4 linked regions of the Lytechinus pictus genome follow. Each later gene encodes a partner of the first gene's protein in a complex. Links are inferred from orthologs where the notes say so. Each region holds a gene or a part of one and is shown in the gene's direction. Other genes may lie near its edges.

What was found.
Region 2: phosphatidylinositol N-acetylglucosaminyltransferase subunit A-like (region 1) and phosphatidylinositol N-acetylglucosaminyltransferase subunit H-like share a complex: the UniProt entries of both Homo sapiens proteins name them as parts of the glycosylphosphatidylinositol-N-acetylglucosaminyltransferase (GPI-GnT) complex. The link is inferred for Lytechinus pictus from reciprocal best matches to the Homo sapiens genes PIGA and PIGH.
Region 3: phosphatidylinositol N-acetylglucosaminyltransferase subunit A-like (region 1) and phosphatidylinositol N-acetylglucosaminyltransferase subunit C-like share a complex: the UniProt entries of both Homo sapiens proteins name them as parts of the glycosylphosphatidylinositol-N-acetylglucosaminyltransferase (GPI-GnT) complex. The link is inferred for Lytechinus pictus from reciprocal best matches to the Homo sapiens genes PIGA and PIGC.
Region 4: phosphatidylinositol N-acetylglucosaminyltransferase subunit A-like (region 1) and phosphatidylinositol N-acetylglucosaminyltransferase subunit Q-like share a complex: the UniProt entries of both Homo sapiens proteins name them as parts of the glycosylphosphatidylinositol-N-acetylglucosaminyltransferase (GPI-GnT) complex. The link is inferred for Lytechinus pictus from reciprocal best matches to the Homo sapiens genes PIGA and PIGQ.

The regions. Positions count from the first base shown.
Region 1 is NC_087245.1:9,799,895-9,807,451, reverse strand, and holds the start of phosphatidylinositol N-acetylglucosaminyltransferase subunit A-like, read left to right. Parts: upstream 1-4,543; 5' UTR 4,544-4,595; coding exon 4,596-4,693; exon of another isoform or gene 4,694-5,044; intron 5,045-5,650; exon of another isoform or gene 5,651-5,808; intron 5,809-6,544; exon of another isoform or gene 6,545-7,167; coding exon of another isoform or gene 7,168-7,184; intron 7,185-7,557. UniProt on the Homo sapiens protein: Catalytic subunit of the glycosylphosphatidylinositol-N-acetylglucosaminyltransferase (GPI-GnT) complex that catalyzes the transfer of N-acetylglucosamine from UDP-N-acetylglucosamine to phosphatidylinositol and participates in the first step of GPI biosynthesis.
Region 2 is NC_087251.1:13,833,581-13,841,320, forward strand, and holds the start of phosphatidylinositol N-acetylglucosaminyltransferase subunit H-like, read left to right. Parts: upstream 1-4,739; 5' UTR 4,740-4,851; exon of another isoform or gene 4,852-5,037; intron 5,038-5,090; 5' UTR 5,091-5,218; coding exon 5,219-5,458; intron 5,459-6,269; coding exon 6,270-6,342; intron 6,343-7,029; coding exon 7,030-7,157; intron 7,158-7,740. Other genes in the region: centromere-associated protein E-like, read right to left, coding at 1,728-1,813, 4,460-4,520. UniProt on the Homo sapiens protein: Part of the glycosylphosphatidylinositol-N-acetylglucosaminyltransferase (GPI-GnT) complex that catalyzes the transfer of N-acetylglucosamine from UDP-N-acetylglucosamine to phosphatidylinositol and participates in the first step of GPI biosynthesis.
Region 3 is NC_087259.1:10,794,236-10,801,628, forward strand, and holds the start of phosphatidylinositol N-acetylglucosaminyltransferase subunit C-like, read left to right. Parts: upstream 1-4,374; 5' UTR 4,375-4,458; intron 4,459-7,393. UniProt on the Homo sapiens protein: Part of the glycosylphosphatidylinositol-N-acetylglucosaminyltransferase (GPI-GnT) complex that catalyzes the transfer of N-acetylglucosamine from UDP-N-acetylglucosamine to phosphatidylinositol and participates in the first step of GPI biosynthesis.
Region 4 is NC_087254.1:10,567,710-10,574,834, forward strand, and holds the start of phosphatidylinositol N-acetylglucosaminyltransferase subunit Q-like, read left to right. Parts: upstream 1-4,115; 5' UTR 4,116-4,154; coding exon 4,155-4,278; intron 4,279-5,138; coding exon 5,139-5,910; intron 5,911-7,125. Other genes in the region: trichohyalin-like, read left to right, coding at 1-2,224. UniProt on the Homo sapiens protein: Part of the glycosylphosphatidylinositol-N-acetylglucosaminyltransferase (GPI-GnT) complex that catalyzes the transfer of N-acetylglucosamine from UDP-N-acetylglucosamine to phosphatidylinositol and participates in the first step of GPI biosynthesis.

The DNA.
Region 1 (7,557 bases):
TTAGTCGACATGCGCGATCGTTTGGAACATGCTTTTAAAGGGTTTTGAGGTTTAACTGCTTAACAATAAAATGAGTGATTTTTATTAGAAAGATAAACGAATGACGCATCTTCCGAGCAGTCGCAAAGGAAAATAATTCTCGTAGATCACAGGTCAATGAACGATCGGCGGGACATCTTTTATAAGTATTTTTATGTGAAGCTGAGCTCAGCTAAGTTCGCTCATTATAATATGTGATTACAGCCACGCCCAATAACCATTCCAAAGTACACCCATTTTGTTATAATAGCTTACTTGGTACATCATTTCTCCGAATCAGTTCTGGGAAAAGTTAAGTCACGCCTCAGTATCGATCTTTTTGTATACCCACCCACTCAACAATATCAGTGAATTACGCAATGCGCGCAAGCATTCACACAATACAAGATAGTTTTGTGGCATAGCCGAGAACTGGAACCGCCCAGACTCAACGGGCTAGCGCAAAATTCTTTACACTACCTTTTGGCATGTGCACGTGGTGGGTTTGATGGCTTATTATAATCACTCGGGTCGCGTTCGCGTTCGAAATCACTCGGGTCGCGTCCGAAATCACTCGGGTTTTGGATTTTTGGCGATTTTTTTTTATTTCGATGCAATTTTTTTTTCTAACGGTGTCTTCAATGGGACAAAACGCTGGTAAAATAAAATGAAATTGAAATTCTAGTTTCGTTTTAAGCTGGCAAGTGCCTTAAATAAAATGCACTCGCCTACTGCTTAACATAACAAACAAGCAAATCAGCCATGTGGCTCAACTATCCTAGAATACATCCAGACTACTGTTTTTCTACGAGGACTACGAGTCGGAACTTGCCATATCTGCCACATCGATATTACATCGTCATTCCCATGTGCGGACATGCATGCCTGCATGCAATGGCCCCAAGGCGGGACCCGGCCGGCCACGGTCGGACACGGCGTGCATCGGTAGCATGGAGCAAGGTAACGTGAGTCGAGCCGAGTTAGATCCCACGTTACAGTGCCAGTCAGCTCGTCCGAAAGTATTTTATTCAGCGGTATGCATAGCCAGCCATCCGTGGTTTAATGCATGTATACGTAATTAGACCAAAAGCTTCGGTCTCTGTAATGTTCGTTGTTCCGCTGAACTCCGTTAGCTCCACTCACCAATACAGAGACCGAAGTTCTAGCTCGATCTGTACAGGGACTCAATGGCCATATGTTTATGCATTAAGTTCCGATAAAACGGGGACGTGAAGTTGCTTGACAGCCGAAGCAATTAGTTACTGTTTTTTCCCCTTTTAAGTTTATTTTCCCTTTTTTGTGCATTTTAGGACAAAACGGAATAATAATATTTATTTGATACAGTTCTTTTCATATATTTTTATGAAATAAAGACAAAAATCGATGAGCGCCGTCTGGTGGATTTTGCATTGTTAACCCCTAATGATGGTTGCACCATAGCGAGCCGTCTATGTACGAGGAGAAATAAAAATAAAATAAAACTCGAAACAGACGGCTGCCAGCTGTCTAATACGTAATGAGCTTTGGGACGATCTTTCCGATAGGCGTTTTAAAATTCTGCTCTTAATTATTGTCCATTTCTCATAAAATTTGTCTTATTTTATAGATAAAATGGCCATATCATGTTTTAAGTAACTGGAGACCTAAAAAATTCCCTTATTCTCGAAACATTGCATTAGGTGATGTGCTTAATTGATCTTTTTTGTGCTCGCGTGCCAAACGTATACGTTGAGCTGAACGGGGATCAGTCTTTCTCTCTCTCTCTGTCTCTCCTACCTTTCCGAAATTAAAACGGTCCCTCGATCGGACATAGTTATTTAGACGCAGGACAAATAATGCTCTGACAACCAAACTAACTTTTCGTCAGCATTAGTAAAAATGTGAATGGGCTTTTAAAAGCTAATACTAAAACTGATCTAAAACTGATCTTAGATCGATTTTAAAATTGATTTTGGAAATCGATTTTAAATCAATTTTAAAATCGTAATTGTATGTCCTGTTGTAATTAACCGATTTTAAAATCGGCTCCCGATTTTACCACAATCAGCGCGATCACCTGCCAATCTTCGATCATGCCCCTTGAAGGAAAAATCGGATATAAAATATCGGCGTAGATCTAGTTACAGTGCGTGATCGTTCAGAACATATTTCAAGATTTTTTTGAGGTGCTAGCTATTTAGAGGTCGCATTAATCAGGGAGAAAGACGCGGTATTATCTCTGACGATGTCTACCAGGATAGATATCTTCTCTTCAACCTCGTGGTGATAGCGGACGCCGCCGTGAACTTTTAAAGGTCGTATTACCGACGGACATCACTGCACTACTCTCTTACCTCCTTTATGATAGACACTTCTCTTCAACCTCGTGGTGATAGCGGACCCCGCTTCTTTTATATTTCTTCTTGGTTATCAAAATTAAGTTAATTTCTGAAGATAGTAATAAATTGATTTGAAAACGCTAGCTCCCCAGAGCATTTTAATAACATGTTCCGAATCATCGCGCGTGCTTGCGACTTCTACTACATTTTAATTGCACTTGCGCCTTTAAGATAATGCATTGTATGAGATCAACTGAAGAGATCATTCCAATAATTCTAAATCGCTAGCACCTAAAAATACTTATAAATGATGTCCCGCCGATCGTTCATTAACCTGTGATCTATGAGAATTATTTTCATTTTATTTTCCTTTGCGACTTTGCTCGGAAGATGCGTCTTTATCTTTCTAATAAAATCACTCGGTTTATTTCAAAGCAGTAACACCTCAAAACCCCTTTAAAACATGTTCCAAACGATCGCGCATGTTGGCGACTTTAAAAAAAAATATTTTGTTCGCGGTCGCGCGCATCTTCCTGACAAAGTCACAAAGACGAATGCATTGGAATGGAAGTCGCCAGTTTTGTCCTAAAATGCACATAAAAGGGAAAATAAACTTAAAAGGGGAAAAAACAGTAACTAATTGCTTCGGCTGTCACACAACGTCACTTCCAAGTTTTATTGGAACTTAATTCATAAACATATGGCCATTGAGTCCCTGTACAGATCGAGCTAGAACTTCGGTCTCTGTATTGGTGAGTGGAGCTAGCGGAGTTCAGCGGAACAATGAACATTACAGAGACCGAAGCTTTTGGCTACTGATGCACGCCGTGTCCGACCATGGCCGGCCGGGTCCCGCCTTGGGGCCATTGCATGCAGGTATGCATGTCCGCACATGGGAATGACGATGTAATATCGATGTGGCAGATATGGCAAGTTCCGACTCGGAGTCCTCGTATAAAAACAGTAGAAGTCTGGATGTATTGTAGAATAGTTGAACCACATGGCTGATTTGCTTGTTTGTTATGTTAAGCAGTATGAGTGCATTTTATTTAAGGCACTTGCCGGCTTAAAACGAAACTAGAATTTCAATTTCATTTTATTTTCCCATCGTGTTTGTCCAATTGAAGACACCGTTAGAAAAAAAAATCGTATCGAATTAAAAAAAATCGCCAAAAATCCAAAACCCGAGTGATTTCGAACGCGACCCGAGTGATTTCGAACGCGAACGCGACCCGAGTGATTATAATAAGCCGGTTTGATTGACACTGCTAACAGTGCTATTCTTTGAGTTGGCTCACTGGCTGGATTAATGACAATACATGTATATCACTGCAAGTATGGCTTACATTATACATACAACACGCAACACATCCATACACACTGCTCTCAAACTCCCTTGCTATTATTCGTACCTAGGCCGTGTGTGCACTTATGGGCGGGATTTAAGCAGGGCATTGACTAGCATATACAACACATCCATGCACCCAGCATTCATATACATTTCTCAAACTCCCTTGCTATTCGTCCATTGTGTGAACTCATGGGCGGGATTATGACAAAAATTAGCGCAAGCACTAGCATACGTAATACACACAATACATTCCTGCACCCACGCGGTCACACATAGCTCTCAAACTCCCTTGTCATTCGTCCATTGTATTCACTCATGGGCGGGATTTATCAGCGTAAGCACTAGCATACATAATGCGTACAACACATTCATGCAGTCACACACAGCTCTCAAACTCCCTTGCTATTGGTCCATTGTATTCACTTATGGGCGGGATTTATCAGCATAAGCACTAGCATACATAATGCATACAACACATTCATGCACCCATGCAGTCACATACAGCTCTCAAACTCCATTGCTATTGGCCATTGTGTGCACTCATGGGCGGGATTATGACAAAAATTAGCGCAAGCACTAGCATACGTAATACACACAATACATTCCTACACCCACGCGGTCACACATAGCTCTCAAACTCCCTTGTCATTCGTCCATTGTATTCACTCATGGGCGGGATTTATCAGCGTAAGCACTAGCATACATAATGCGTACAACACATTCATGCAGTCACACTCAGCTTTCAAACTCCCTTGCTATTGGTCCATTGTATTCACTTATGGGCGGGATTTATCAGCATAAGCACTAGCATACATAATGCATACAACACATTCATGCACCCATGCAGTCACATACAGCTCTCAAACTCCATTGCTATTGGCCATTGTGTGCACTCATGGGCGGGATAAATGACAAACACAGTACAAGTACATGTTCATTGTTTGTATATTATACAATACATTCATTCCAAGTTACACTCCCGCCATACCAGTCAGCGCAGCTACCGGTAGGTCATCATAAGTAGGTCAACCTTTTATGAGTCATTTCTGACATTCTAGGAATCTCGATTGTTCGAACTATTCGATTGTTAAAAAGCTCTAAATAGCTAGCACCTCTGCAAGAACAATCTTGAAATATGTTCTGACCGCACTGTAACTAGATCTACAGGTATGCCGATTTTTTATATCCGATTTTTTCCTTCAAGGGGCATGATCGAAGATCGGCAAGTGATCGCCGATTGTTGTGAAATCGAATGGAATCGGTTGCCGATTGCAAAATCGGTTACAAGCTTACTATCAATAATGGAGTTACAGCTCCAAGTATGAGTCAAGCCTGTCAAGGTGTCTCCAAATGTAACGTGAGTAACCGTGGAATAGCCCTTCAGTCTCTGTTAAAGGGGAATCCAGCCTTGGTCATAAAATTTTGTGTTGGAGAGAAGAAAAATATATAAAAAAGAATGGTGAAAAATTGAAAGAAATCGCATATGCAATAAGAAAATTATGGCCGTTTTAAAATCAAGATCCCCAATACTATGTAGATTTCAAATTGGCGACCGAGTAAGAAAATTACGACAAGGGGAAGGACAACTTTCTTATAGGCCATGTACTTTATTATCAGGGATTTGTGGTTTTCTCTTTGGTACCCTTTCCCCTGGGGCAGTAATCTAAATATGACCCAGGTTGCATATTGTTTTATGTCCTCAAGAAAGAAAATTACAGTTTGAAGTAAAACTTTTGAAAATAATGACATTTTATGTATTGGAGTACATGGAAGAGTAGTCCTTGCCTTACATCACTATGACATCATTTATATGCGGCCAATTTGAAGTCTCTATAGGTATAGTGTCAGTGATGACCAATATTTACAACTTTTAAAAAATTATAACTTTCCTATTGTTTGTCCGATATTGTTAAAACTTTCACCAATAAGCTCGTCTGATTTCTCTTTTCCCTCTAAAAACAAGTTTTCATTTGGGTTGGATTGTTCTTCTGAACTCCGTTGGCTCCACTCACCAAATACAGAGACCGAAGTTCTAACTCGATCTGTACAGGGACTCAATGGCCATATGTTTATGTATTAAGTTCGGTAAACCAGGGAAGTCGGAGTTGCGCGACAGCCAAAGTAAGTCATTGTTTTTTTCCCCCTTTTAAGTTTATTTTTTCCCATTTTGGTGCATTTCAGGCCAAAACGGAATGCTTATTTTGGTCTAGACAGCTGGCAGCCGTCTGTTTCGAGGAGTTTTTTAACATTTTTTTTTTTTTTTTCTCCTTGTACACAGACGGCTAGCTAGCGTGCAGCCACCATTAGGGGACTTGCAATGCAAAATCCCCCCGTCGGGGCTCTTCAATTTTTGTCTTTAATGAATAAAATTTTTGAAAATTAACGTGACCAAAATGCAAATTAATATTCCCTCTTGGCATTAATTGCCAAAAAACAGAGAAAAATCAAGTTAAAAGGAACAAAAACAGTGACTTACCTCAGCTGTCGTGCAAATTCACTTCCCTGTTTTATCCGATCTTAAGTACATAAACATATGGCCATTGAGTCCCCTGTACAGATCGCGCTAGAACTTCGGTCTCTGTATTTGGTGAGTGAAGCCAACGGAGTTCAGCTGAACAACCAACATAACAGAGACCGAAGCTTTTGGTCTAATTTTGGTCTAGCCTATTTCTTTTGATATATTTTTATGAAAGACAAAAATTGATGAGCCCCGTGGGGGGGATTTTGCATTGTTAACCCCCTAATGGTGGCTGCACGATAGCGAGCCGTCTGTGTACGAGGAGAAATTAAAAAAAAAAATTTAATGTTAAAAAACTCCTCGAAACAGACGGCTGCCAGCTGTCTACCCAGGGTCTAAGTCTAACGTTAGCTCGAAATTGCAAACACAGTTATTAATACATTTATATAATGTAATCGTAGACTTGAATAAGAAACAAACAATTTGGGGAATTAGTAAAAAGGGCATGACGAACAGAGCGGCAGCCTGCCAGTGCAGTGCAGAGGCTTTAATTTCTAGAGCCTTAGCCTACACAAAACCTCATATGTGGGACAATTCGTTTACCTGTATGGATTACTGTCGACTACTTCCGAGCTCATCGTCTCTATTTTTTGCCTTCCTGTCAGAGAAATATTTTTATTCTTCTCTGCCTGTAACTCATCTTCTAACTGTTGTACTTTAGCTCGAAGTTCTTCAACACTAGCCATTTTTCTGAAGTGCTTTTACATGGAATTTACAACATATGGTAGACTCGAACTCGATCGGTTGTGTGGCTGTGATATCCGCTGTGTCTGTCTGTGTGCGTTGGCGTCGATCGACGACTAGTTAATAGGTCGGAGTTATAGACTTTTAATCTGTATAAATTCAATCAACTGTGGTCTATAGAACCTACTAATAGTACCCAGGCGAATTTTTAGCGATGTTACCCCTGTAGTTTTTTTTACAAATATTTTGTGTGGGAGGCATTTCAAGCAAGAAGAAAAATGAAGCATAACGTCTGGTAAGTTTCCTATTTTCATCACAGTCCCATATGTTGAATATGAACGTAGTGTAGTCCCAAATGCAAAGTTTGGTGTAAAGTCCGGCCATGGCAATGTAGCTTCTTTTCTTCTTAACAGTTAGACCTAGTTTAGAACTCTCGATCTACATGTAGATGCAACACCTCTTTAGGGTTAGATCTACTTTTTTTTCTGAAGGTAGGCCTTAGCCTAGACCAAAAGCTTCGGTCTCTGTTATGTTGGTTGTTCAGCTGAACTCCGTTGGCTTCACTCACCAAATGTACGAGGAGAAATTAAAAAAAAAAAAAAAGTTAAAAAACTCCTCGAAACAGACGGCTGCCAGCTGTCTAGCCTTAGCCTAAAGTAGAATAGTTC
Region 2 (7,740 bases), on another chromosome or scaffold:
ATGCCATCTTTTTATATTGGGACCTTTGATATTGCTCCCGAATGGTTAAAATAAATGAATTTTCTGCCAATGTCATTCAGGGATCATGATGATTGATTGTAATCAATTAAAATAAGAGGGGGACAGGTATAATAATCAAGAGAGCACAGAGTATGGGGAATGGAGGAAGTGAGAGTTAGAAAAGGATAAGAGACAGAGAGAGAGAAAGAGAAGAGAGAAGAGAGAGGGTGAAAGAGAAACAGCCAAAGAGACAAATAGAGGGAGAGAGAGAGAGAGGAGGTATATAAAGGGGGAGATACAGGAACTGAGAGAAGAGATGTACAGAGAAACAGAGAGATGAAGGGACAAAAGCAGAGAGGCAGAGACAGCAGAGAGAGAGAGAGAAGTGGCAGAGATGAGGGGGTGACAGTGAGATGGTGGAGAAACCACTTGTAATACATATTGCAATAATGTAAATATGCCATCAACCTAGCTACAAAGAATACCATAATGATTGAACCCCTAAGGGAAGTTAATGCTGTTTGATTTAAACACATTTTTTTCATATCACCCATGTTCAAACACAAATACTAGATTTTAAATGGCTATTACACTTTGTTGGGCTGTATATTAATATCTTTTATTGAAACAAGGGTTTGATGATTGATTTGAAAACAAGAACTCTATGAATCATGAATCATAGTTTATTTGTTGCTAAACCCTAAATTGGAGATCATAAAATGGTAAGGGAGAATGGCCATTATGGGCCTGTAACACAAAGCTCAACAATCATTGCAGAACAATGTCTTTATGATTGTGTGCATTGACAACAATGTACAATCTATAAATAAAAATCAAGGGTACAATCAATCGCTAACATTAATATTGAAACGATTGTAAACAGCAGGTTAGATACAGGATAATGTTAGTTCCTTGTGGTACTTTATTCTGGCAATATAATGAGTTTGCAGAACAACAATTAGATGATCATTGTGACCTAATGGTGATATAGGCAGGGTTTGGCTCAATTACAAAGTAATTGATGAATTACGTAATTAATTACATTTTTGGAGCAATTTAATTTGTAGAGTAATTTGTAATTGAAATTTTTTAGGAGAACGTAATTGTAATTGAAAAATTGTAATTGACTCAAATTACTGTCAATTACTTTTAATTACATTCAATTACATTATAACTTAATTTATTATTCAATTTACTCTGGATTGCTTATTTCTCTTTTCCCTTAGCTATATAGTGCTCTCTTGCATGAAACTGTATCCTTTCCCATGATAGGGAGGAAAGAGGAGATGCTATTGCTATAAAGAAGTGCACAAAATGGGTGGCGCTACATACAAAATATGAATTGATCTGATTTATGACTTATAGAAAGTAATTGAATTGTAATTGTAAATTTAGCATATCTTCAATTACGAAATTGCAATTGTAATTGAAGAAAGTAATTGAGCCCAACCCTGGATATAGGTGATTACTTACTAATCATGAATATGATGATGATGACGACGATGATGATGATCAGATGACAATGGTGGCAATGATCAGATAACAAAGGTGGTAAGAATTGTATGACAATGGAGGTTACAATGATGATGAAAAGAACAAACTCCAGGAACAACAAAACCCTAGAATTAAATTAAATTGACCTAGAAAACGTAAGGTAAACCTCACCAAATGATAGATTTATTATGAAAATTGTGGGGGTTTGGCAAAGGTTGATATGAAATTCTTACCAATTCTTTGATAGCTTCTGATACTCCGTCAATCATTGTAATATCATTATCTCTGAAGCCAAATTCTTCACTCTTCATCCGTTCAGCTATCAAAGTAAGCAAAAAGCATAACACAATAAATTAAAAAGATACATCTACCTAGAGATCAAATACATGTCAGTTATCATGGCTGTCTTCCATCAACACTCTGGGTCCAATCATCACATAAACTGCCATCTTGCAAATCTCTGTCACCATTCCCATATGGCAGCTACAAGTTTAACTCAAACCTCGCATTGCCATTAGTATTTAAGCTTCTTGCTCTTGGCCAATAATCTTTGGAAAATTTACCACAAATTAGAGAAAGGTGTTTTTATATTAAAATCGTCATCCATGTACTTTTTATCACTTGTAAATAATGTGCTCCCCGATCCCCAGTCTTGTCTTCAGATGGCTACGTAAACATTGGCAAGTTTTTCCCCCGTCTTCTCAAAATATAATTCTTGGTGGTTTTTTTTAATGAATATTTGCTTAAAAATGAAATCAACATTCTTTGAATGTCGGAAATGAAGTTCTACATGTATCCCATGCATAATTTAGGGCTAGATCTTTTACAGGGAAGGTAGAAATCTTCGGGGCGAAAATTGCAACGTTGACCGCAGTATACGCACATGAATGGGGCACAATCCCTGGCTCTGTGGAGAATAAGCACACGTTAGTGATTTTTTCTCTCTAGGAGCCTCCTGGTGGAGGTGGGGGAGTATGATGGTTGTCCCCAAGTCTGCACACCTAAGAGTTGAGTTAAGATTTAACATGAACTTCTTTTTATTTCACAAAATCTTTAGGTTGATAACGTTCCTTATATTATTATGAGGAAGTGTGCCAAAAATCTCATAAAAATTTGAAAGAAATATATGATTTTCTCGGGAAAAACCTCAGTCAATCATTTTCAGATTCAACAAAAAAATGGTGCCCCATGTCTGCGCACCCATTCACTTTGCATGGGATCCAGGGATTTTGATGACAACAGCTGCATTTTGAGGCCGTCACATGAAATTACCATTGAAATCAAATGCCCAAAGTTCATTATTTTTCCACTATTTTGAGTCGTATTTTTTAATGAATGTCTGTCTATGTATTGCATTTGCATATGTATAGCTTGTGTTTGTTGCGTATCTTCTTTTACTAGAAATAGAATCGCGCAGGTATGCGTATGTGCAGACAAAGGGGGACTGCACAGACTTGGGGGAACCTGTCATACCAGAAAAGAAAGGGAAGTACAAAAAAGAGGTGAGAAATAATAATGATTATGAAAATAAAATGAAAATAGATAAATGATTTAGCATGTTTAGTAACATCTTACTGATCTTAGTATTGTATCGCGTTTTTTCCTGAACGTTATATAAACATGTTTTCTTTACCATACATGATTTCTTTTAAAAAAATTTGTTTTCATGTTGTTTATCTTATGATAAAGCATGAGGGGTCAGAGAGATTGCCGGCCATTTCGATATTTCAAGTTTGGTTGAATAAAAAATGGAAAAGGTGTGGGGAAAAGAGGGAGAAAATGTGAGAAAATAAAAGAAAACACATTTTTTTTAAATATTATATATGAGGCCCCTTATGGGCCTAAATTACCCCGGAGAAGTTAAAATGACATCCGTTTTGCCATGAAATTAATGACAGCCCCCATAAAAATAACTTGGCGCCATCCCAGATAAAATGCATCAGAGTGCAATCGAATGACCCCCAAAAATGTTTAAATGTGATATGTCAGTGTGGCTTGCCGTAAACGCATTTTCTCTCAATGCTGACGGTGGCGGGCGGTGTGCAAAGTCGATCATGCCTACGTAGGACATGTCTGGAGGTGTCTTTCTAAGGTCAAGGACCATTCTTCGTATCGCCCAAATCGGCTTTGTGAAACAGTTGAGCGATATCTCGTTCTTACTCTTAGTTCTTACGTAGAACGGTTCTACGAAAGACCCTTTCATGCAACAGGCCTGAGGGAGCTCTGGCCCGGAGCTCCCTGGGTTAGGCATGACCTAGAACAGTCAAAAGCTTCGGTCTCTGTTATGTTGGTTGTTCCGCTGAACTCCGTTGGCTCCACTCACCAAAATACAGAGACCGAAGACGAAGTTCTAGCTCGATCTGTACAGGGGACTCAATGGCCATATGTTTATGTATTACTATTAAGTTCGGATAAAACAGGAAAGTGAAGTTGCACGACAGCCAAAGTCAATGTTTTTTCCCCCGTTTTTGTGCATTTCAGGCCAAAACGGAATAATTAATCAATCATCATCTTTATTTTGGTAGGTCTAGTTAAGTTAGGCCTAGGGCTAGGCCTACAGTTCTTATCTTATTCTAGGCCTAGCCCTAGGGCTAGGCCCTATATTTTTATGAAATAAAGAAAAAAATCGATGAGCCCCGTCGGGGGGATTTTGCATTGCATTGTTAACCCCCTAATGGTGGCTGCACGATAGCGAGCCGTCTGTGTACGAGGAGAAATTAAAAAAAAAAATTAAATGTAAATAAAAAAAACTCCTCGAAACAGACGGCTGCCAGCTGTCTAGGCATGACCGGGCCCGGCCGCCAGAGCTTCGGGGTGTGTGTACGTGAATTCCCGGTATGGTACCGGGTTCCATTCGATGGTACGATACGGCGTAGGCTATAGCCTATAGTATAACCGCAGGGGCCGGGCCGGGCAATAAATAAAAACCCATCAAACCCAAATGTAATCCAAATTAAATAATAACCTAATTCTTGAAGACGCTGGAGTGCAGCATTCACTCCTGGCATTTCCGTGCTGGCAGACATTTTGGCCAAATTTCTCTGGATCCTGTTTTAAAAAAACCGTGTTGGACTTGGACTTTGGAGTACGGTAGGTCGCGAAGAGTTTCCCGTTGCCTGGGGTGCAAGTAAACAACTACAGAGGGCAGCATAGCGGAAGTATTTTGTTCAGTCCCATCCCACGTACTGATATCTGTGTTTATAAAATAGCTGTATTATTTCAAGCATCGCGATTGGTCAATACGCGTCACATGACATCCAACTTTTTTTGTGCACTGCACGGTAGTGCAAAAGGTGTGCAACGAAAATTGACATTGCACGCTCGAGCAAACCAGTGCGGTAGAAGTCCAACAAAACTGTACTGTAACTTTTAAAAAAATTGTTTCTGTGTTGCTATTTTATAAAACAAATAATGCACTTGCTCTGTCGTGCGTAAAAGTAAATGCAGAGAAAGCTCGGTTTCTTCAGATGGAGCACACTGGGCACTCGCCGCAAGCGGCTCGTGCACAGTGCGACTCCTATCTAAAGAAACCTCGCGTGCTCTGCATTTCCACTAACGCACTCGGCTGCATGCATTATTTGTATAAAATAAGACAGACGACTTGCATATACATTCACATACGAAGTTAGTGCTGGCTTCAAATTTGTCTAGATCTAAATTCTAAGTTAGATCAAATTGTGTTTCATCCGACGTCAATTTGCGGTGATGACGGCCCTTTAACATAATGATGGATACAGATTTGAAGAATGATTTCTACCATGCCCAAAATGTGAAGGAGGATGTGCAATTATTAGGCCAGGGCTTGTTGAGGAAAGGCCAAGGACATGAAGGAGGTGTGAAATGGAAAGATGACCAGCTTGTCTGTGAAATATCTGTGACTGCAAAACAGTCAAAACCAAGTTGTCATATAGGGGGTCTATTGCATATTTTCTTCTTTATGTCAGCAGTAGGACTCACGGTTTTGGTGAGTATATTAAGACAGGGCTTGTTTATTGTTGAATAAAATGTTTATATTTTAATTTTTATGAACGCAAAAATGAAAGTAAATCGAGGCGGCTCTGTCATGTCTGTTAATGGTTAAATAAAAAGATGAAATATAGTCATAATTTGTTTAAAAAGAATCACCATGCATTTGAATGTGATTTGCATGATGATAATCTAAATTATCTAGCTCTTTCTACATCACTAATTTAGTAACAGCCTATGGCTATGTCCCCTCCAGCTCCCCCTAAATTAAAGTGATGTATTAACTTTGTTGGTAAAAGTTGTGATTAATTGAATGTGAAATAGATTCTACAATGTAATATGTGTACGTCGTATGAAACATTTCATAAATGAAATGAAAAATGGAAAGTAAAATGAAAATGATGAAGTTAGGTGCAAAATATGGTCAGCCGAAATGTAGGGTCTTGTCTTTCTACTTCCATGGTCTTGTTCACTTTCCAAATTTCCTGGTTTCGGGATCCGGGTCGCTCTTGGCATTGTCACTCATCAGCCTCTATCGCTTTTGTTGAAGCTTTCATTTTGATTATGAAACACCGAAATTTTGTCGCAAATAGAAACTTTACTGAAATGACAGTGTTTGAGACTAATAATACCTTTAGCCTATATTGTGAGTCAAATTTGGAAAGCTTGATGAGAAGATCATGTTTAGTTAAATAGATATGATTACTGTATAGAATGAATAATTTCCATGGAATGATTTTCATGAATGTTATGATTTATTAAATCTTTTACCCAAATAAGATTATTTTAAATCCAATTTTCTTTTACAGTTCTGGAATGCAGTTCTCGCTATCATGATTAGTGTTCTGTTCTTTCTGTACATTCATTCTTCAGTTTCAAAAGGTAAAACTAACAAGTCCTTGACCTTACATGTGATGATTTTTTTCTAAAAGTAACAGTTCATTGATGTGGGGAGCTGAATGACAAAGTAAAACTTAAGAAGTAATAAAACTGGTGAATCATAAATAGAGTGATAAAAGCTACAACTAAAGAGCAGCAAACAATGCAAGAACTCAGAAGACAAAATAAAATGGATTGAAATTAGAATTCGGAGAAGTTATGTGTGTTGGTGTGTAGGCCTAATAGGAAAGGACTGAGGGAGACATGAGAAGAACCTGCATACAACATAGGGTAATCAGATAAATTGTACCAATAATACCTCATGAAATCTGAACTGAGGTGATACAGAAATGAACAGAACTATATATTTTACCAGACTGAATGGATTAAAATCAAACAAAATGAAACATACATAAAATTACCAATTATAATACATTGTGAATATTTTTTTGGTTTCGATTCTCAATTTTTACTGTATTTTTAATTTTTTTATTTCTGTAATCTTCATTAGAAATAACATTTTAATTTAATTCCATATTTGTAAACTCTAGGCCTATTTTTTAAGATCATTTTTCTAGAGTGTTTAAGTACACTTTGTTCTTGATAATCTCATTTTGTAATCCTCACTCATTGAATTGACTATCTTTTGAATATTTTGATGTACTGTATTGTTTCCACCTTGATTTGTAGAAACACTGCTTCTGATATCTTCCCTTGGGTTGCAAATATCTTCGGAGTATGTCACAGGACGCAGAGTCACCCAGTTTATTCCTTTCAGGGCAGTTCAAGACATTGTTATCCATGAAGCTGTAACAATGGTGAGTGATTTCTTATTTATCACTTGAGTGTTTTTAAAGCCAGGCTGACTTGAGAATCGATGGACAGTGTTATATCACTTAAACATCATCAGCGATTTCCCTCCTACCAAGGGTTACTGACTCTTGTGCCATGATAACAATCCCTCCTTATAAAGTGTTGTGTAACCTGTGCAATTAATCATTTTGATAGTTTTGCATTTGTACAGCAATGCAGGACTATGTCTGTGGTCCCAAGAAGACTTAGGCAGACTCACCTATCTTTACATTGTATGTCAAGTGGTAACTTTCTTCAAATTGCAAGTGAAAAATACTGCCCAAGTTCAGGTTTTATTTCCAAGATAACAAATAAAAAGAGACATGAAGTATTACAGTTTTTCAGGCACAGATCCAGGAGGGGGGGTGGCAGCAGCTGCGGGCGCACCCCGTAAAATTTGAAAATACAATGGTGGACCCCATACAATTCCTTCATTGTGCACCCTGTACAATGGAACAAGGACCTTTTGTGTTTTTTGTGTGTTTTTTTTGCTTTTCGGACAAATTTGCGTCCCATAATAGTCTGACTGTAGCCGGTCCGCGCCTGTAG
Region 3 (7,393 bases), on another chromosome or scaffold:
TTCAAAGCTGGGGGCCCGGGTTCGATTCCCGGCAGAGACATTTTTTCGGCATCACCAATTTTTCCAAAGGGTAGATAGCTCTGGGGAACCTTGATTTAAGCTACGCCTACCATTGTTCTCTTCATCCATTTCTTTACAATATTTAAATAAAAGAGTTGCCAAAGCTGTTGTACATGTATAACTTTACACATTTATATATATATATATATATATATATATATATATATATATATATATATATATATATATAGGCGTAAATAAATCAAGCATTAACGCTAGACGTAGCTTCCAAGTATCTCTTTTATTGCGAGCTTTCGGCCAGTGGGGCCTTCATCAGGCCTATAATGCATTGAAACAAACAAAATAGAACAAAACCATACAAATAAAATCGTAATAACAACAAAGTAAATAATGTGTAACAAAGGGTACAGAACAGAAGGATTACACTAAGATAAAAAAAAAAAAAAAATATATATATATATATATATATATATATATATAAAATCAAAGTGGGGGCTTACCATGCAAACAATCACAATCATATGGTAATTTTTACGTTTTTGTACACGATTTTGGAAAAAAAGGAGGGGGGCTGAAGCCCCCCCCCCCCCGGCTTCCGCGGCCCCTGATATGTATGTATATATAATTATCCCAGTCCTGAACTTGTGAATTGAACACAAAAAATACAAATCATATATTTAAACAGCACATTTTCCATAATTGAAGATGGGATCGTGAGACTGCTGACATGCATGTTTTAGCTTATGATATCATAATTTATAACGATCTTAGAATTATCTTTTTATCGATCACCATGCATAGGAATATTGTTTTCATTTATAAAGAAATAATTGCTCTGATCTGTTTAAAATGGGTTTTTGTTTGAAGACGTGACACCGTAAGATAGTAAGGGTGTGTACAATATGTCGGTTTCCAAATTCAAACGGCAGAATGAATCATGATTGAAAAAGTAATTACAAAACGCGGATATAGTGAGAAAACAAAGGGTGTGTTCGATGTTTCCTCCATCCCCGTTTATAAAAGTAAACGTCTTTCAAATCACGATTCAGTGGAAAATTTAAACGTTGAAAAGGACTTTGTGTTTGTAAACGCGATCAGCTCAGATTTTATGACCTTCGGCAATACGAATGCGATATTGAACACAGTTGAGTTTTGAAACGCCATTAAATTTGCTCTCGCAGTGGAAGCCTACACAAGCAGGTGCCAGAATTGACCTTTCTTGTGATGATGCTGGGTCAAACTGCGCTAACGAAAGCGGGAAATTTCTTAAAGACGATCGACAATTCAGCTTTATATTTTTGACACTAAACAGTCAGGGGCGTAACAGGGGTTGGTGGCCAGGTGGGGGGGGGGGGGGGGGGGGGGGGGCAAGAGCCAAAAATTTCCCGGTCATATCATGGAACAGGCATGAGGCAAAAATTTTGAGGGGGTGATATGGTGTATCGGGCAAAAAATAAAAATGCGAGCGAGCGAAATTTTGACATTTTTATAACAAAAATCAAATTTTGTGATAGATATTTTACATAATGTTAAAAAAGATAATATCATATTTCTCCCTTCTCCCTTTTTTGTACGCCACGGTGAATAGGAATTTTGTTATGATTGTGCGCATCAGGGCGAAGCTCTATATGCTCAAAGGGGGCCCAGTATGGCGCGTGTGGCAATTATAGTAGCTTAATATATTAAAGTACCGAGCGAGCGAGATAAAAAAAAAATCACCTTTTCATGAGAATCTAACACTAGATTTTGACGTGATATTCAGAAAAATATAATACACTTTTCCTTTGCTTTTCTGTCTTTCCTCCCTTTTTGCTGTTTGTTTTGGTTGTAGAACTTTTGGGGGCCATGGTCCAAACTCATCCATACAACAGAGCAACTACGTGGGTGGGATCCGGGGCGGAGACCCGGAACCTCTTGATATTAAAGCCATTTTAAACCTTACAGATGGCCACTAATTTTAATCATATTGCGTGTTTATCTATATAGCTTTCACACAACACATAAATTCAATGCAGTTGCGTAAATATTTTGAGGGGACACACCATAGCAAATGTGGGAAAATTTGTACAGTCGCCAGCGAGCGAAGCGAGCCAGAAAGAAAAATGGCTTTTATTTGAAATGAAATTCTAATTATGTGATAGATTTTTACATCATAGCAAATATCATGTCGTATATTTTTTTTCATTCGTCTCATTTCGCTGCCTCCTTTATTTTCTTTTATTTCCCATTGGCTGTGGAACCCCCGGTACGCCAGTGCTTAAACGCAAAGTTCAATGCAGGAAGGGTTCATACAGGGGCCGTATTGCCCGTATATAATGCTGTATAGAGCCCTTATAAAGGTTACAGGTTACAGATGAAGAGCCCCCATTGCACGGGATCTTGGACAGAGCCCCCGGTAGCTTTGGAGATTTAGCAAGTTTATGATGATAATTATATCGTCAATCCTCGGCATCCCGGTAGTTTTATCTTGTCCCTTTTCTTTATTTTCCAATTTAGATTTTGGCTCATTCCATTCTACCTCCATTTCCCGCTTTTTATCTTTCACACATGTTCTTCTTTTCTTCTTTTCCTCGTTTTCTTTCCGTTTTCCCTTTTTATTTTTTTTCCTTAGTTTTATTTTCCCTTTCCCTAATTTCCTTTTCCCCTTTCCTTTTCCCCTTTCCCTTTCCTTTCCCCCTGTTCCTCTTTATTTTCACTTCCTTGCCCTTTCCTTATTTCTCCCCTTTTTTGTCTTTTTCCCGTTTGTTTTATTTTCCCGGTGAACTCCACTAGGGGGGGGGGGGGGCAGCTTGCACATCTATTAATATTTAACTTGTCAGAATTGAATAACAATATCCCACACAAGCTAGTACTAGTAGCCTACTTGATTGAATGTAGAAGAAATAATTGGGAGCTTCAAGGCCTAATGATATATTTTTGTAACAACATACCAACCAAATTTTCCGGAGATACTCACCCGTACTCACCACCTTCCCAGAAGGAAAAACCAGTTCCACTGGACCAGTTAGACCAGTAGAATTTTAACTGGTAACTCTGGAAATTGGAACATCGGTTTACTGGTCTAACTGGTCATACTGGTCATACTGGTCCAGTTAAAAATTAAACTGGTCTTGAATTACTGGAAGTTTATACTGGTCTTGTTTCTGGTGATTGTTACTGGTCTTCATACTGGTATCCAATTCAAGCTGGTCTTTATTGGTATTTTCTACTGGTCTGACTGGTCCTCGAACTGGTCGAACTGGTCTTCGTACTGGTCTTACTGGATCAATTTATTACATGCATTTGGTTTGTTATATACCCTGGTCAGTGAAATGTGATGGAAAAGATGGTTAGTAAATTAATCTTTCTGCTGATATATGAAATTACACATTTTCATTGTGAATTAGTTCACACACTTTTTAAGAAAGTTTTTAAACAACAAAGAGTGCTATTGCAAGGATATTCCATTCTAAATCCTGATTTTTCTGTTAAAAATAGGAAATATGCAAATGAGGTAAACCATGTGATCAGCATCATCAGAATTACTGGTATTACTGGTCTTGACCAGTTCAATTTCAAACAATGCATTACTTTAGACCAGTTGACTATATGACGGGAATATATCTTGCTTTGATCTTAATCATAATTAAAGCCAAAAGGAAATAATTATTCTAATGATAATGTTAATACTTGATAAGTATGATAATATTAATAATAATTACAATATCAATAACAATGATAACAGTATTAAGAATGATAACAATGATCATAATAATAATAATAATGATAATGATAATTATAAGAATGATGATAACAATGATAAATGATAACGATAATAACTTTCTCTGAATTGCAAGATTCATTTTCCATAATTCGTCAAATGATCTAACTTGAAATAAAGTCATTTATTGGACCAGTAACACCAGTTTGATGAAAAACAATTAAACTGGTATTACTACTTTGCTTCAACTGGAATGCAATTGTTTGAACTGGTCTCCAGTTGATTCTTACTGGTCCAGTTAAAAATCAACTGGTCCAGTAAACATATACTGAAAACCAGTAAAAATCTACTGGAAACCATTTATTGGACCAGTAACACCAGTTTGATGAAAAACAATTTAACTGGTATTACTACTTTGTTTCAACTGGAATGCAATTGTTGGAACTGGTCTCCAGTTGATTTTTACTGGTCCAGTTAAAAATCAACTGGCCCAGTAAAAATATACTGGAAACCAGTAAAATTATACTGGAAACCAGTAAAAATTCTTACTGGTCTTACTGGTTTTTCCTTCTGGGTTATATTTTATTTATATTTTTGTCAAGAAAGGTCGCATTTTATTTCGATTTTTTTCCCCCTGAATGTTTTCTCGCTGAGGAGACCATAGCATATGGACGGGAGGCCGAGTATGCCGACCGAAAGAGCTGGACTATTTTTCACGTTGTAAATCACTGTCTGCGGTAAGTATGTACTGTGAAAGTAGGTATAGAGAGTTGAAATGTTTCACAATTTGGATGTAATGTAGGTTTAGATTAGAATAGATTAAAAATTCCAATAACTACCACCGCGCAGACCCTACTCAACTGTGATCGCGCAATTGCAATTCAGGCCCACGCTCGAGCAGGGCAGCTTTGCTGAGGCCCCCAGGGATTAGGCCAAGTTGGCACGCGGCTAACCCAGAGAGCTCCAGCCCGCGTAGCGGGCTGGAGCCCAGACGCGCAGTGTACAAACGGGCATTCAGGTGAGAGTACCGTGAAGTTTGGTCAATATCATTTACATAATACATAATTTAAACAGAAATTAAGCACTTACCACGATTGTATGGATGATAGTCTAACGAGTGGCAGTTTCCTGACATCGAGGCACAGACTGGAACCTCAAAAAACGATCAGTTCTGTCGCGGTAGCTCTCCTCTTTCAGAATTCAACACAAAATGGCCGATCGAGACCGAGGCTAGTATAGCACTAGCGCATATAGACTTTGTCAAATTCGCGCATGCGCCCTACACCCTCTCGAACGGCCATTTTGCTATGAATTTTGAAAGAAGGAGAGCCACCGCGACAGAACTGATCGTTTTTTGAGGTTCCAGTCTGTGCCTCGATGTCAGGAAACTGCCACTCGTTAGACTATCATCCATACAATCGTGGTAAGTGCTTAATTTCTGTTTAAATTATGTATTATGTAAATGATATTGACCAAACTTCACGGTACTCTCACCTGAATGCCCGTTTGTACACTGCGCGTCTGGGCTCCAGCCCGCTACGCGGGCTGGAGCTCTCTGGGTTAGCACGCGGCTAGCGGCTGCGCGGGTCCAGGGCTGGCAAAATTGCACTGACTGTGTGAGGCCTAACTTAGCCTTAGGCTTAGCTCGACCGGCGCAAATGCAGTTTCGCACTTGCAGACTTCCAGCAAATTTTCCTCCCAGTAATTGTTTGCAAATGTCATAGCTGATAGCAATTCTCTCGATCACATTTCCCGGGCCGTATTCTGAAAATTGTCTTAAGTCTAAGTAAGAGAAATAATATTCTTGTATAAGTTAACTTGTATGGTAGTGGATCGTATTACCGAACACTTTTCATGAATTCAATCATATCAAGCACATTATTCTCGTAAAATTCACCAAACTTTCACCATAAATACACAATTACCTACAAAATATAAATATGTAAAATTTTTGCCGAAATCGTTTTTCCTTTTTACGATTTTTGCTTCCAATCGGACCCCTCTTCGCATGTGAAATATTTTGGTCACTTGAAAAAGGTATCGTATTACCGAACGCGTGTTTTCTATGGGAAAAGTTGAGAAAACAACAAAATCACTGATGAGTTATTTTGACCAAATTTTATTGTTTTTAGAATATTAAGAGAAATAAGACTTTGAAAATGAGTTTTTGACCATTTTTCATCATCTTTCTATTCAAGTTCTCTTTGGAAGAATGTTGCGAAATTTTGAATGTATGAATTTTTTTCTGATGCGTATGATGCGCGCGTTCGGTAATACAAGGCCGGTCGGTAATACAATCACTCACTATACTAGTTGTAGCCTATCTTTTTTAGACTAGAGACAGAGTTACAATAAAAATTAAAATCCGTTTTCCGAAAATTGTCTTAACTTTTCTTGTAACTTTCACTGAGCGCGTATGATGTCAGAGATATATTGATGCGTGTATATATAATCGGCGCATATTATGTCTGTGCGCAAGATAAAATATCGAGTTACAACTACAAGGTATTCTGAAAATTCTCTTATCTTTGTGTTCTCTTAACTTCCTTGGAAAATACAATAAAATTTACAAGAGGTGGGGGGCTATTGTAACTTATTGTTGCATGCTATATTTGTCCGTCTGCAATAATTATTTCTTGCTGCATCCCGCAAGAACATCATGTTTTACAAAAGGAGACATTCCAAAGAAATAACGACGGATTGGTAGATTTTTCAGCAATTAAAAATGTGTGTTCGAGACGAAGAATCTTTTCAGAGAAAATATATCTTTGAGAAGAGCTAGCCTGGAGGCTTCTGGGGAGTAAAACTTCATCTACTATACGTAGGCTTACTCCCGCATGAAGCCTGGGCCTGGGGATCATTCCTCTCTGAGGCTAGGATTTCCCACGGTTACAGTAGACAAGGCTCCACATTAACTTTTTTTGGTGGTGGCCCGTTCGGGCCACCAAAACCTTCAAATAATTTTTTTTGGTGGCCCGATATTAAAGTTTGGTGGCCCGAAAAATATAAAGAAAAACATTGAAAATTAATAAATGGGTTTAAATGGTTTTTTAACCACTGTCAAAAAAATGAAAGAAAATAATAAAACGGCAAAAAAAAAGTGCGAGAAAATTCCTTCCCTATATTTGCCAAAATGTTGGAAAAATTCACATTTCATATTAATGAAATGCCTTCCCAAAGTATTTACTTTCTCAAGAGTTGTTTAAGAAGTCATTTATAAACAAGAAAGAAAGTAACTGTCTGTTTATTTTTGGCTAGAAAAGACCGGAAAAGGCACAGCTTCGAAAGAAACCAAGTAACAACATACATACAATTCAAATGAACACGTGGGACTGTGATGTACTCACCTATGTGTTTTTATGTGCATTATTTTCATTTGGAAATCGGTCTTTTTGAGTCAAAAGAGAGGTCATGATTCCTCTTTTAAATGCTTGAAAATAATCAGGATACACCAGATTTTGGCAAAAAGGTCTGTAGAAGGGCTTTTCATTGGTGTAAAATGTGACTTTGACTTGGATTTTCACAGTTCTGTGGAAGATTTCTTAGCTGCAACATTTCGTATTGCAGCTCCCTGAGTCTGAATAGACTGCTGACTCACAGCTGCTTGAAGCATGCAAAGCTCACGCCAGCCGGCCGGCGCGGCCGGCTGGATAAAAGCTACTTAATGCTATA
Region 4 (7,125 bases), on another chromosome or scaffold:
AGAGGAGGAGGAGCAGCAGGAGGATAAGGGAGAGGAGGAGCAGCAGCAGGAGGATAAGGGAGCGGAGGAGGAGCAGCAGCAGGAGGAGGATAAGGAGAAGCAGCAGCAGGCGGAGGATAAGGGAGAGGAGGAGGAGCAGCAGCAGCAGGAGGATAAGGGAGAGGAGGAGCAGCAGCAGCAGAAGGAGGATAAGGGAGAGGATAAGGAGAAGCAGCAGCAAGAGGGGGATAAGGGAGAGGAGGAGCAGCAGCAGCAGGAGGATAAGGGAGAGGAGGAGCAGCAGCAGCAGAAGGAGGATAAGGGAGAGGATAAGGAGAAGCAGCAGCAGGAGGAGGATAAGGGAGAGGGGAAGGAGGAGGAGCTGCAGCAGCAGCAACTGGAAGAGGAGGAGCAGCTGCAGCAGCAGCAGGGGAAAGAGGATAAGGGAGAAGATGATGTGGAGGAGGAGATAAAGGAGCAGCAGCAACAGCAACAGGGGGAGGAGGCAGAGGATAAGAAAGAGGTGGAGGAGCATCAACAGCAGCAGGATAAGGGAGAGGAGGAGGAGGAGCAGCAGCAGGAGGATAAGGGGGAGGAGGAGCAGCAGAAGGAGGATAAGGAGAAGCAGCAGCAAGAGGAGGATAAGGGAGAGGAGGAGCAGCAGCAGCAGCAGAAGGAGGATAAGGGAGAGGATAAGGAGAAACAGCAGCAGGAGGAGGATAAGGGAGAGGGGAAGGAGGAGGAGGAGCAGCAGCAGCAGCAACAACAGGAAGAGGAGGAGCAGCTGCAGCAGCAGCAGCAGGGGAAAGAGGATAAGGGAGAAGATGATGATGAGGAGGAGATAAAGGAGCAGCAGCAGCAGCAACAGGGTGAGGAGGAGGAGGAGGATAAGAAAGAGGTGGAGGAGCAGCAACAGCAGCAGGATAAGAGAGAGGAGGAGGAGCAGCAGCAGCAAAAGGAGGATAAGGAGAAGCAGCAACAGAAGGAGGATAAGGGAGGTGAGGAGGAGGAGAAGCAGCAGAAGGAGGATAAGGATAAGCAGCAGCAGGAGGAGGATAAGGGAGATGAGGAGGAGCAGCAGCAGCAGAAGGAGGATAAGGGAGAGGAGGAGGAGGAGCAGCTGAAGGAGGAGGAGGGAGAGGAGGAGCAGCAGCAGAAGGGGGATAAGGGAGAGGAGGAGGAGGAGGAGGAGCAGCAGGAGGATAAGGGAGAGGAGGAGCAGCAGCAGGAGGATAAGGGAGCGGAGGAGGAGCAGCAGCAGGAGGAGGATAAGGAGAAGCAGCAGCAGAAGGAGGATAAGGGAGGTGAGGAGGAGGAGGAGAAGCAGCAGAAGGAGGATAAGGAGAAGCAGCAGGAGGAGGAGGATAGGGGAGAGGAGAAGCAGCAGCAGCAGAAGGAGGATAAGGGAGAGGAGGAGGAGGAGCAGCAGAAGGAGGAGGAGGGAGAGGAGGAGCAGCAGCAGAAGGGGGATAAGGGAGAGGAGGAGCAGCAGCAGCAGAAGGAGGATAAGGAGAAGCAGCAGCAGCAGAAGGAGGATAAGGAGAAGCAGCAGCAAGAGGAGGATAAAGGAGAGGAGGAGCAGCAGCAGCAGAAGGAGGATAAGGAGAAGCAGCAGCAGGAGGAGGATAAGGGAGAGGGGAAGGAGGAGGAGGAGCAGCAGCAGCAACAGGAAGAGGAGGAGCAGCTGCAGCAGCAGCAGGGGAAAGAGGATAAGGGAGAAGATGATGAGGAGGAGGAGATAAAGGAGCAGCAGCAGCAGCAGCAACAACAGGGTGAGGAGGAGGAGGATAAGAAAGAGGTGGAGGAGCAGCAACAGCAGCAGGATAAGGGAGAGGAAGATGAGGAGGAGGAGCAACAACAGAATAAAAGAGAGGAGGAGAAGGAGGAGCAGCATCAGCAGCAAGAGCAACAGGAGGAGGAGGAGGCGGATGAAGAGGAAGAGAAGGAGGAGGAGGAGGAGGAGGAGGATGATATGAACGACTCATCTGCCGTAGAGGAACAATGTGAAGTGAGAAAGCTGGGAGAGGTACAGGTGAAAGAGGAAGTCAAGCGGGGTCAAACCGAGGAGGTTGAGATGCTGGAAGGGGACAATCCTAAGGGGCAGAATCACTGTGAAGATAAGAAGCATTGCGAACTTCAACTTGTGGAGGAAGATATGGACAGGGATAGAGAAAATGACTTGGTCGAGGAACATCATACTAAGAGGAGGAAAAAATGGTGGCATAAATTACTATGCTGTTTCTGAAACTGTCCTGCAAAAAGCCACTTACGAGGGAAAGGGAGGGGGGATCAAACAGACAATATCAAGACCATCGTATGTTATCGAAAACTTCAGCATTCTGGCAAGAGCAAAATTATTCCCGGGCTCTTATCTTACCCAGCACCAAATCAAGACTGTTGCTATTCAATTATATATTTATGCCTTTATTTATCATGCACAATGTGATAATATTGTTATGTAATTAAATTGAAAATAAATGTAAAGTGGAAATCATTAGCCAATGTGAAAGCCTCTTCTTTTTTTAACTGAGAAGAGACGAAAGAGAGAAGGAAGGAAGGAAGGTGGGAAGGAAGGAAGAAATGAAGGAAGGAAGGAAGAAAGGAAGGAAGGAAGAAATTGAGGAAGGAAGGAAAGAAGGAAGAAAGAAAGAAAATGAATAAAGAAAGAAAAAAAGAGAGAGAGAGAAAGAAAGAAAGAAAGAAAGAAAGAAAGAAAGAAAGAAAGAAAGAAAGAAAGAAAGAAAGAAAGAAAGAAAGAAAGAAAGAAAGAAAGAAAGAAAGAAAGAAAAAAGAAAGAAAGAAAAAGAAGGAAGGAAGAAAGAAAGAACGAAAAAATAATAAGGAAGGGGAAGAGCAGGAAGAGGGCGATAGGAAGGGGATCTCTTTTCCGCCTTAGCTAATTATTCCGATCCCTGACCCAGTATATGCTCTAAAATAGTATATGCAATTCGCATGAATGTATTTTTTTAAATATAGGCCCTATTCTGGTGGAACAATAGAAGAAATAGAATTACAAGTTTAGGGGGTGTATTTAACAAAAACGACGTACACTTCTGAATAGCAAAAGAACAAGATGTCAAAAAGGAGAAAAATAAACATAACCAGAGTAAGAGAATTACCTATCGATAAGATTCCAAATTAGGTAGCATTTTAAATTAATATTCTCTAGAATATTTCATTTTCATTTTGCCAGGTATATTGATGATGTAAATGACAAATAGAATCATAGAGATCGTTATAAATATAATACGTAATAAGACAAAGTGAACAAATGAAACATATTACAAAACTACATAAATTACATTATATGGATCGAACCTATAGATGCAGTGTATGTGTGTAACAAAAATAAAGCTAAAAGCATGAATAATAACATGATTTTTTTTTCTTCTTGATAAGAGGGCTTAGGGGATACTAACATCTATAAGCCGGTGTGATCTAACAATTAAGAGCTGGCAAGAGTACTATATTGTTTTCATAGAATAGGCCCTATTAGCTTTAAGAATAAAATATGAGTTTGATTCGTATGACCAATAGTTAATTATGGAACAATTAAACGGCTTTATTTTAAACACACTTACATAATGGTGAAATGGGCAATCTTCGCTGGCCAGCAATATATTACGAAATTATTTTCCCCAATATACAGTATATCATTTTCACACAATAAAGAGTACCACTTATTGGGGAAATTTTATTAGCCTTTATATAACCTCATCTTATTTCCATTAAGTTTTAAAAGGGGGTATTATTATTATTTTTATTTGTTTGTGTTCTCAGAGTTCAGATCAAAGGTGCAGAGAATCTGAATATAGATTTTTTTCTGTGACATGTTAGTTGCCACATAGAGACTCGAATGCGAATGGGGATGAATAGACTATAGGGATGAATGACGAGTGCTCAATATTGCGTGAAAATTTTGTGTCATTCGAGACGCTGTAACTAAGACTAAGTTCAGGACCATGTTCAACAGTCTGAAATTCGACCAAGTATTTATCTTTGATTGTAAGTAATAATTAAATTACTAATGAATTTGTGGCAGACTTTGTGATGAAAATGGTATACAAATGGGCATGTCAGAAATTTATTTAGATCCCCAGAAAATGTTACTCCCTTCTCTTCTAATGTTCACTAACACAAATGTTTATGAGTGGGACTGGGCTAAAAAAAAAGCAATGGTGTTTCTAAGCAAATACTACCAACAAGCACTAGCAGCTCATCAACCTTGTGACAGACACACTGAGAGTATACCGAGGAGATCATTTGGGTGTGGAAACGACCCACAACAACAACAACATGGTGTTTCTAGACAGCTGGCAGCTGTCTGTTTAATGTTTCGAGGAGTTTTTAAACATTTTTATATTTTTTTTAATTTCTCCTCGATCAGACGGCTCGCTATCGTGCAGCCACCATTAGGGGGTTAACAATGCAAAATCCTCCCGACGGGGCTCATCGATTTTTGTCTTTATTTCATAAAAATATTTAAAATGAACTGTACCAACATGACCAAAGTAAAGATAATAATATTCCGTTTTGGCCTGAATTGCACCAAAAATAAACAAAAAAAGGGGAAAAAACAGTGACTTACTTCGGCTGTCGTGCAACTTCACTTCCCTGTTTTATCCGAACTTAATACATGTATGGCCATTGAGTCCCTGTATATACCGATCGAGCTAGAATTTCGGTCTCTCTATTTGGTGAGTGGAGCCAACGGAGTTCAGCGGAACGACTAACATAACAGAGACCGTAGACTAGTAGATGATGATGATGTAGCTTTAGTTTAGGCCTACAAGTACAACCGAAATCAGGAAGGAACATTTCTGACACTCCGACTCCTTTCTTCAGCTAATTTTAAGAGAGTAATGATTTTAAAGCAATTTCATATAGAGGTCTAGATCTAGATTTAGAATCTGCTTCTGCATGCTATTTGCCCAAATGTAAAATTGTTTTCAATGTTTCTTTAATTTAATTTGAATCTTACGTACATACAAGTAAACTTCATTTCCTGTGACAATCGGTCACTTGAGGAATAAAAAGTGAAACCACATGCTTTAGCAAATGACCAAATATTGGAAAAGACTGTTTTATGTTGTATAAGTATAAAAAGATTAATCTAATAACATTATTATTTTCTTTGATTGTTTTGTTTTTTACTACAGAGCCTGCACTGTGGGATTTAAATGGAAATTTGAATTGTTTGGATGCATCTCGGACTGGAAGAAGTATGGAGGGGACTGCTGTACTCAAAATCTTCTTCCCTGAAAGCTTGTTGAATGCAAGGAGTGGGTTGTGCCTTGGAACCACACACCCGGACAAACGGTGCATGTGTGTTTTAGCCATCGTCCATCCATCTGAAGATGATCATGCTCCAGAACTGGAGATTAATCTCCCTGTCATCGGTATATATGAGAACGTGAGCAGAGACCCGAGACCAGATACAGACGAGAAGAGTCGTCACATCGGCTGCATCGTTGAAATGACACAAAAACATCACAATGAGATTCCGGCTTGTAGGATCGTCCGATCACCTTGGCAACATGTAGGCGGTCCAGGGAACATTCGCATTCTCTTCGTACTGTTCAATGATTATCATATACTAAACGCCCAGTACGTCTGTTTAGACGATAGCAAGCGGGGTGCAGATTCAGCGAAGAATGATTCTCATGGATCCACGCCTTCCATGTTGAAGGAACATAAGAAACCCATAACCCACCAATGTGAGGCAGTGGACTTCTTATTTTCAGCTGTCCGTCACTTTTCTAAGAATGCACTTCCGGCGTCTCCTCCCAATATACCCATGTCATGTTTACAAAGAAACTCCAGTAGTAAAGGATTTCGTATATGCAGTCAAATCTGTGAGATTTGTTTTATCTTGCCAGTCTTATTCATGAGATCTCTGTTTTACTGCTTGGACAGTATCAAGGAAACAAGGTGATTACCTGCAATACACAACATGAAATGGTAGTTGAATCTCTATTTCATTTTTGTATTTTCCTGTTTCTTCTTCGAGATAGTGCTGTGCTGTAGTATAAAAATGTTAGAATTAGTGATGTCACAGTATTTTGTTACAGAAAGTGAAAAAAATCCCTGTTCTATAGTAGGTAGGTATCAGTAAGTTAGAGGCAAGCACTATAAACGTGATCTGAAAAAGCTTGGGCTATTTTGAGCTGTTGACAACCAGTTGTGGGATGAATACAGCTGTGATGTCACATTTTTTTTCTGTTGGCTTGATTTATGATAAGTTCTGCCTCTGTAAACGTCCAACAGGGTGTTGCAAGAAAATATTTTCAATCAATTGCAAATATTATGTTGCAATCAATAGCTGTTGCAATTTTAAAATTAATAGATCAATTTCAACTGTAGCAAATTGTTTCAAGAAGCAGTTTAGCAATCAATCACAAATCTACAATTAATTACAAGACATATGATTGATTTAGGGACCAACAATAGACTTGCAATCAATCACAAGTTTCTTGCAACGCCCCACAAGATTGCTTGTCATGTTTTTGATAATTGCCATTTTCTTCAGGGTACATGTAACCTGCCTTATATTTGCCTAGTTAATATTTTTGAAATTCATTTTAGAACACACATGTGTGGTCATAACTTTTTCAGATAACATGCTTGGTATATTATAATGATAATGTACAGACGGTAAAGATGATAAAGATTTGCTTACAAAAGGAATCACTTTGGTCACTTATTCCACATGATAGTAAGTAAGATATAGTAAGAAAGGGGGGGGGGGGACAAAAATGAAAAAGTGAAAAAGTCAAAGTCGTAAACATTCATGTATAATATCAAGTTACTGAGTACAAGTTTAATAAAAATAATTGAAAGGAACGTTTACTGTAAAACAGAAAGTTGATTCTTAAGATGGTTTGGAATAGTACTCCAAAGATGAGGACCGCTATAAAATACAGTATTCTTTGAAAAATTAGTTCTGACTTAAGGAATATGGTATTCTACAGCATCGCGTGTAGTATACTTATGTACATTACAATTAAGGACAAATTTAGATGCTATCAGAGTAGGTAAAATGCCTTTAGACAACATAAACATAAATATGGCAACATTCAATTTATTTGTCATATTTGTCAGCTTAGAAAATATTGGCAAGGAGTGGGCATTATACGGTGAATTAGA